Linked DNA regions of Coturnix japonica. The protein of the gene in region 1 purifies or fractionates together with the protein of each later gene. This does not show direct contact. Links are inferred from orthologs where the notes say so. Each region holds a gene or a part of one and is shown in the gene's direction. Other genes may lie near its edges.

What was found. Proteins that work in one complex are often made in the same cells at the same time.
Region 2: the proteins of POGZ (region 1) and CHAMP1 purify together in Homo sapiens (affinity purification with mass spectrometry; 4 studies listed by BioGRID and IntAct, with this or other methods). This does not show direct contact. The link is inferred for Coturnix japonica from reciprocal best matches to the Homo sapiens genes POGZ and CHAMP1.

Annotation. Positions count from the first base shown.
Region 1 is NC_029540.1:2,371,254-2,374,400, forward strand, and holds part of POGZ (pogo transposable element with ZNF domain), read left to right. Parts: intron 1-228; coding exon 229-369; intron 370-877; coding exon 878-937; intron 938-1,224; coding exon 1,225-1,337; intron 1,338-2,051; coding exon 2,052-2,076; intron 2,077-2,194; coding exon 2,195-3,147. UniProt on the Homo sapiens protein: Plays a role in mitotic cell cycle progression and is involved in kinetochore assembly and mitotic sister chromatid cohesion.
Region 2 is NC_029516.1:123,375,485-123,380,206, reverse strand, and holds the start of CHAMP1 (chromosome alignment-maintaining phosphoprotein 1), read left to right. Parts: upstream 1-1,815; 5' UTR 1,816-1,993; intron 1,994-2,425; 5' UTR 2,426-2,526; exon of another isoform or gene 2,527-2,541; intron 2,542-4,722. UniProt on the Homo sapiens protein: Required for proper alignment of chromosomes at metaphase and their accurate segregation during mitosis. Involved in the maintenance of spindle microtubules attachment to the kinetochore during sister chromatid biorientation.

The DNA of each region.
Region 1 (3,147 bases):
GGGCTTTCTGCCCACCCTGTGGCATGCCATTTTGTCTGAATTTATGTTTATTTATTAACCACTCCATTACGATGTGGGAGGCATTGAGCCTGGCATTGAGGCACCCTGAAATGCTTTGGTGCAGGATGAGACCGGTTTAACTTCAGGAAGCTGGATGTGTGTCCTGTTGTTGGTGGTTATTGCTGCAGATGCCTTTCCCCACTGATGGCTATGTCCCTCTCTTCTCAGGAGTGTCCTGGGCAGGCAGACCTGCCTGGAGTGCAGCTTTGAGATCCCTGACTTCCCAAACCACTTCCCCACCTACGTCCACTGCTCGCTGTGCCGCTACAGCACGTGCTGCTCCCGAGCGTACGCCAACCACATGATCAAGTAGGTGTGATGGCACAGAAATCCCTCCTGGCTGAATGTGGTAGTGTCCCACAAAGGGGGTTCCACAAAATTCCAGTCCATTGCCTGTTCTGTAAGGTGTGCGTTCTCTGTCAGCACGGATGTGGGCGATGGCTTTGGGATAAGATGGGAAAATGAGTGCAAAAGCTGAAGGATTCGTTCCCCACACAGTACTATGGCTATCAGCCTGTGTACTGCAAGCTCACTGTTCCAGGCTTCTAGGATTTCTTGCTAAAGTCTTGTATTCACATTAAAAATACAATTTAAAAGTAAATGAAAAGAAGGTTATGCCATGGTTCTATAAACCTGCGCAGGACCTTTGTTAGACCCCAGATCAGGAGTTTTGTTTCTTTAAATAAAAGACAAAATAGGATGATTGAAACCAGGGTTGGGTCTGTCTTTGTAAACATGCCAGGTTTCACACAGTTTTATATAGCCCTTCAGATACCTGGAATAATTCTGATGTTTCATTAACTCTTTTGTCATACAGCAACCACGTTCCCAGGAAGAGTCCCAAATACTTGGCTTTGTTCAAGAACTACACTGCCTGGTAAGGGAAGACTTGTCATCTCACTTCAGTCACCCGGGGATTTGGTGTGCATTCATTTCCTGATCTGTTGTGTTCTTTACTTTCACGTCTGCTTAAGAAGCACTGCTTAATATTTGCAATGCAGTAACATAGGTCAAGTGAAGGCAACCACCCCTGCCTTCCAGATGGAGGACAGTACATTAGGGAGGGGACACTGCAGCGCTGAGAGGGATGTTTTGTCCCTGGTATGGGCATACATCTCTTCTAATAGCAAATGCTGATACGAAGTTCACTTTCTTCTTGTACAGTGGCGTGAAACTGTGCTGCTCCTCCTGCCTCTTTGCATCATCAGAGGGTGATGTGATGGCCAAGCATTTGGTCTTCAACCCATCACACGAGTTCAGCAACATTGTTTTCCGAGGTAGGAGTTTGGAAAAGGAGCAGAAAAGTTGAAATAATGAATGAAAGACATAACCTGTGAGTTCCTAGAGCCCAGCTCAAACACCGGTGTGGCCAAGCACTCACTGACTGCTGAGCTTCAATAAAATGCAGCTTGGGGACCTTCTGTAGTTGCTGAATGTGTCACAATTGTTATGGAGATGAGAGCTAAGCCTCCAGTGAGGCTGTCAGCTTGAGCTCAGCTGCGCAGCTTAGATCTCAGGAGATATTCCCAGGAAAGAACAATACGGAGGGCTTCAGCGAGCTGCTCTGTTCCTCTGAGACATCATTGTACCTCTGTGACACGGAGAGGCCTGGAGCAGCTGCTGATGTTGGGCTTTGAATGGGGCCTGGAGCTGCTGTTCCAGCAATCGTACCCATAAGTGCAATTTGCAAAACTGAAGGTCATTGCCTGCAGCAATCTGGCTGAAGTTGAGCTTTCCAAACCAAACTCCTGGTGTTATTTCTGATGGATTTTGGTTTTGGTGGGTTCTGATGCTGCTCTGCACTACTGGGCAGATCTCATTGGTTTGGATATGGGTGCAAGACCTCTCAAGGAAGGGAGGGGGTCAAATGAGCATCTGGTTCTTGCAGCAGATAGAGATGCCTGAGCCTTATCTCTGCAAAAGCACAGTGTATTTGCACTGACTTGTTGCTTGTTTGCAAAGCCACAACTGTCTTTGTCTTTTTCTCGCAGGGCCTACTTGGATATCACATTCCAGGTAAACTCTTTGTGAACTCTCCTATCATCTGTTGCAGTCTGGAGGTTGGTTGCTTGTTTTCCCTCCTGTGGTTTTATTTCCTTGGTTTTAAGAAGGCACTGTGTTCTCTCCCTTCAAGGCACATTCAGCCCCAGGACAGAAGCATGAAGAACACGTGCCCTGCCTATTCCCCCAGTAAAGCTGCTACTGTGAAAACTAAGTCTGTGTTACCCGCGAAGGACGACCTGGAGCCTGAAGTGGCACTGGCAGCCCACACCCAGCCCCTGCTTTGCCAGGAGGAAGAGTGCTTAAATATCGATGCTCAGGAAGACGAGCAGCCAATGAAGGAGACCGAACCTGCGAGCAAAAAGGAGCAGCTGTCGGTGAAGAAGCTGCGGGTGGTTCTGTTTGCATTGTGCTACAGCACTGAGCAGGCGGCCGAGCACTTCAGGAACCCACAGCGGCGCATCAAGCGTTGGCTCCGGAGGTTCCAGGCTTTCCAAGAGGAGAACTTGGCGTCGCTGTCGGAGGGCAAATACCTGAGCTTGGAGGCCGAGGAGAAGCTGGCAGAGTGGGTGCTCACCCAGAGGGAGCAGCAGCTGCCCGTCAATGAGGAGACGCTCTTCCAGAAGGCCACCAAACTTGGCCGCTCCCTGGAGGGCGGCTTCAAGATCTCCTACGAATGGGCCGTGCGGTTCATGCTGCGGCACAACCTCAGCATGCACACGCGGAGGGCAGTGGCCCACTCGCTCCCCAAAGAGGTGGAGGACAACGCTGGCTGCTTCATCGAGTTTGTGCAGAGGCAGATCCACACGCAGGACCTGCCCCTCTCCATGATCGCAGCCATCGACGAGATTTCCCTCTTCCTTGACGTGGAGGTGCTGAGCAGTGACGACAAGAAGGAGAACGCTCTGCAGACGGTGGGGACTGGTGAGCCCTGGTGCGACGTGGTCCTCACCATCCTTGCTGACGGGAGCGTTCTTCCCACGTTGGTCTTCTACAGAGGTCACGTCCAGCAGCCCGCCAACGTGCCTGAATCCATCATACTGGAAGCGAAGGAGAATGGCTACAGCGATGACGAGGTCATGGAGC
Region 2 (4,722 bases), on another chromosome or scaffold:
GGACAGTTCTCCTGCAATAGGGGCAGACAGGGCTCTGTCTGCCTCAGATTGGGGTCTGCATAAATACAACCATTTCCAACCCATTCAGCTGCCCAGAGGACATGGGCAGAGCCTTGCTGGCTCAAGCAGGAGTCTTGTTTGTGAGAGGAACCCACAAGAGCTAGAGAAGAAATTATGCACATCCTCACATGCTTAGCATTTTTTGTCCAAAGGACACCTGCATTCTGTTTGATTGCAGCGAAGCTGGCCTTGGGTTTACACATCTGCACACACAGGGTATCCAGAACATTGATATTCACAGGGGAAGCCGGGTGGGAGGAGCTGCCACCTGCTCAGTGCTTGCTCTTTTTCCTACGCGCCTCCTGATGACACAAAATAAATGCAGGCTTGCAGCCTGTCTTTGTACACAGTCACTGTGGCGTGAGAGCTTTATTTCCACAATAGCAACTTTGTTTTGCAAATTCAGCTCTGCTGAAAGTAGATCCAGCTTCCCTGAGAAAAAAGGGAATTGTATCTAGTTACATCACAGCTGATTTTGGTTCCATCTGCTTCCTTGTTTTTACAATATAGCGCTGTCTCTTCAACACAAATCGTCACCACCCTGATAGCCTCACTCACTTTCTGTTGTCCTATTTCTTACTGTGGTGCCAACCTGTTCCCTTGATACCTACACAGAGGTAGTATGGACTTTTAGCCACAAGTGCTGCCAAACACACTGCCTCTGTGTGGGCTCTGAGCTGTGACGGATCACTGCTAAATGCCACCTGATGTTACGACAGATCATGGAGACAACCACCAGCCCTTCACAAAACAATACAGGCTTGGGCTAATGTTTCAGCACTGCTGAGGTTTGTATGCGGATTCTATCTGAAAGTGAAAGCAGAAGCAGTTTTTGGAGACCTTTGCTGGGTGAGGAGACCGACAGCAGAGCTCATGTGTCTCCTGCAGTGAGGACACCACGATGCTCATTCCTCCTAACCTATAGACAGCAACACCAAACATTTTAAAGATGTTTTTAAGAGATCGGTACGAAACTATGAGACCAGGACAGCTGGACTAGATGGTTGTGTAGGTCATTTCCAACCTTGTGATTCTATGAAATATTTACAATCATGGAATCATAGAGCTGCTCAGGTTGGAAAAGACCTTAAAGATTATGGAGTCCAACCACAGCCTACCCATAGTACCCTAACTAACAGCTCTCTGCTCCACTGTGTCTCCGAGCACCACATCCAAAGGGATTTTAAGCACATCCAGGGATGGTGACTCAACCACCTCCCTGAGGAGCCTGTTGCAGTGCTTAAAGGAGTGTTTCCTGACCCAAAGCTTTTACTGGCCCAAGAAAGACAGCTTCACTTAGCGCTGCTTTAGCAACCCCACCACCAACGCAGGTTAGACACAGAAGGGCTCATGTGAGCACTATAGAGGCCAGCAGAGCACATTAGGGCAGAGCAGGTAACCCAGCACAGCCATGAGACCATCCTCCTGCTGGTTTGAAGCAGGGCACTGAACTGACAAAGGGGGCGTGGTTCGTGTGAATTAAGCCCATTCTGTGCAGGTGTCACCGCAAACAAGAGGTTCATTGCTTGATGCAGGTTAGATCTGTAATTTAATTTAATTGTAATTTAGCTCTTGGAAGGCGTAGCCCACATCAACCCCGCACGACGTCCCATAGCTGACAGGATGCTCCCGCCTCCCGCCGCCGCTCCGCCTTACGGCAGCACCACCTGACCGAGAAGGCGGGAGGCCGCGAGGGGCGGGACTGAGCGCGGCGCCGGCGCTTCCTGTTGGGCGGCGGGCGGGCCCGGGGGGGCGGTGAGGCGGCCGCCATTCGGCTGCGCGCCTCCTCACGGCGCCCCCCCGTCCCCCCGCCCCCTCCTTCTCCTCCTCCTCCCCGCCCCTCGCACGGCCCGAGCCCGCTAGCGAAGCCGGCCCGGCCCGGCCCGCCGCCGTGTGTCCTGTGTTGCGCCCGGCCGCTGGAGGTGCCTCGGCGGTGAGTGCGGTGAGAGCGGGGAGGCCCTTCCCGCCGCCCTCAGGCGCCGAGCGGGCTCCTCTCCGCCCCGGGCGGCGGGCCGGGGCCTTCCCCTCGGTCGGGGCCGCCTCGGGGCCGCAGGGCGGGGGGCTGCGGGGTTCGAGTGCGGGCGAGGCCGGGAGGCGGCGATGTGCCGGGCCCCCGCAGGCGACGCCTCCCGGCCTCGCCCCCACTGGAACCCCGCAGCCGTTCGGGGCGATCGGAGCCGGCCTCGTGCCGAGCCGGGCCCCGCGGGGAGGGAGGGTCCGCCGCACCGGGGCTGTAAGTCGGCACTGCCGGGAGCCGGAGCTGGGGCCGAGCTGTGCGATTTGTGGCAGGGAGGTGGAGATTCCGACTTCGTTCTTCCCTTCCCTCAGCCGTCCTCACGTCGAATTTTGTCTCGGTGTAATGCAGGTGGAGTTCGTAGCTCGAGGTCACCGCGGGAAGGGTATGGTACAGCGTGCCTGTGTGTGCTCCTTGGTCCCGTGCCGCTTCACCAGCTCAGCTCTGCAGAAGTACGTTGTTTTGAGGTCAGTTTTGGAAGCTAACAGCGCATTATTGCTAATACGGAGTTACACTGCCCTGTCTGAATGATATGAAACGGTAATTTCTTATCCTTAATCTTGATGTAGGTATGTCAGATACTTAGTACTTTAGGTTGCCCCTCGTTCTTGTACTAGGAACTCACGTTGCTCTGCAGACTTGTCCTAGCAAAGACAGAAGGCCCATGAGGTAGGTGAAGTGCTGCATCCTTCATGTTCTCAAAGCCTTCAGCATCAAGCACTGATGACACTGTTCAGTTTTCCTCTGAGCTGAACCTGGGACTTCATCGTGCAAGAGCCCCCTTGCTGGACCAAGTGCATGCTCTCCCAGCACATCTCTCAGTGTTGGTGGCTGGCAAAGTCAGGGTGTCGGAGCCTCCTCTCCTAGTGCAGTTTTAAAGCTGGACCCAGCAATCACTGCTGATGGAACACTGCACAAATGTGATTGCTGGTGTTGGCAGCGTGGCTGTGAGTAGTCAGGTTTCTGTGGGCTCTGTGGGGTAGCAAGAGCATGGTGCTGCCTCTTGTTCCCTGTGTGCTGGAGCCAACCCTCACATCTCCTCTGTGTACATTGGGAAGCACCTGCTCCGCTTCATCGCTGCCTGTGGGATCTGAGCTTCTGTTTCTTGTCAGCCATTGCACAGGTTTAGGAGAAGCAGGGTGTTGCCACAAGAGTGCTCCTGTCTACTTCTTGGCACTGCAGGAGTGTGTCACTTTCCCTTTTGCCTAAATACAGCTGCAGTCTGATCTGGTCCTGCTGGTAGAAGCCATGGTGCAGCTGTATCCTGGTGTCTGGTGCTGGGTACTAACTTTACAGTCAACCATCTCCATTGACAGAGAATGTGGCTGAAGTCTTTGCCTGAGCTTCCACCAATGGAAGTGAACAGCCATCTTTCTTGTGCAGTGGACAGGGCTTGTCAGAGCAGAGCTGTGATGAGTGGCACCCTGTACAAGTGAGAGGATTATCTGAGGAAGACATTTCTAGGAGTATGGGCTTACTTCATCATTTGCTTGATGAACTGATAGAATCGTGTTGCACGCTTGTGTGGGAGGATGCTGGAAACCATTGCTTCACACTAGTTTGTTGCTCATTTTTCAGGATGGTGTGGATGGCAGCACTATTTTTAGGTCCCGCTGGATCTGGAGAAAACAATGCAAATACAGGGTATCGTATAAAATGTATAACTTCCTTTTCAAAGCTGCACTGGCGCCCCTGATGTGCTTTGCACATCCTCATTCTCTGCTTGTCTCTCATTATGATCAATTCTTTATCAAGAGGGAGAGAAGTATAGCTCCTTTTGTCAGTGAGAACCAGGATGGACTGGTTTTGAAGGATGATACATCAGTCTGCATGTTGCCATATTCTGAAATTCTGCACATCATGTTAAAAAGAACCTGTAACTATGGGATTGAAATGAGATTGAGAAATGGAGACATTTTGTTAGTTGCCAGAGTCACTGTGTTGTGCCTAACACTGTGGGCCTATTTTTGGTGGCGCACAATGTCTCCTGCAGATTTCTTTTATGCCACTGGGAGGTTTGTGAGAGGTGTTGGGATGAATGGCTAATCCTGCACTGGGATTGTGACAAGCAATGAGATGCTGAATCCTGGAACTAGGTCTGGAGTGGCCGTAAGTCCTGCTGGGTTTGGGCTGTTCCTGTTGCTCAGCTCAACACAAGCTGAGTCCCTTCATCAGATTTTCACTTGAGTCCTGGGTGTTGATCTGTGTCCCTTATAGGCCAGCAAAAAGCTGTGGTCGAGCTAAGAGCTGAGCTGGCACCAGCACTGTTACTGTGCTTGATGCTTGTGGACGGGAGCACTTTGCTGTTCAGATTGAAATCTTAACGTCTTGGAAAAATCTGAAGAAGCTTTGTCTGCCCTTGGTTAAAGTTTAGTATTACAAACTCCAGAATCTTAGTGGAGGCTTCTTTGCTTCTTTTCTTGTCAGTGCTTTGTCTTGAGTAGAAGCAGGTTGTGTGGACAGGGCAAGTGTAAGTGCAGGGCTTCAAGCTTCTCCTTCACTTGTAATGTATTCTTACTGAATTAATTGGTTCTGTTTGGTTATATCTGTATTTGTGGTTTGTGTGTCACAGTCGTGCAAAGTGAGGAAAGCAGGAGGGGATGCAGAAATAGCAATTAAGGAATCCAGAGCACTGTGTAGTTGCAGAG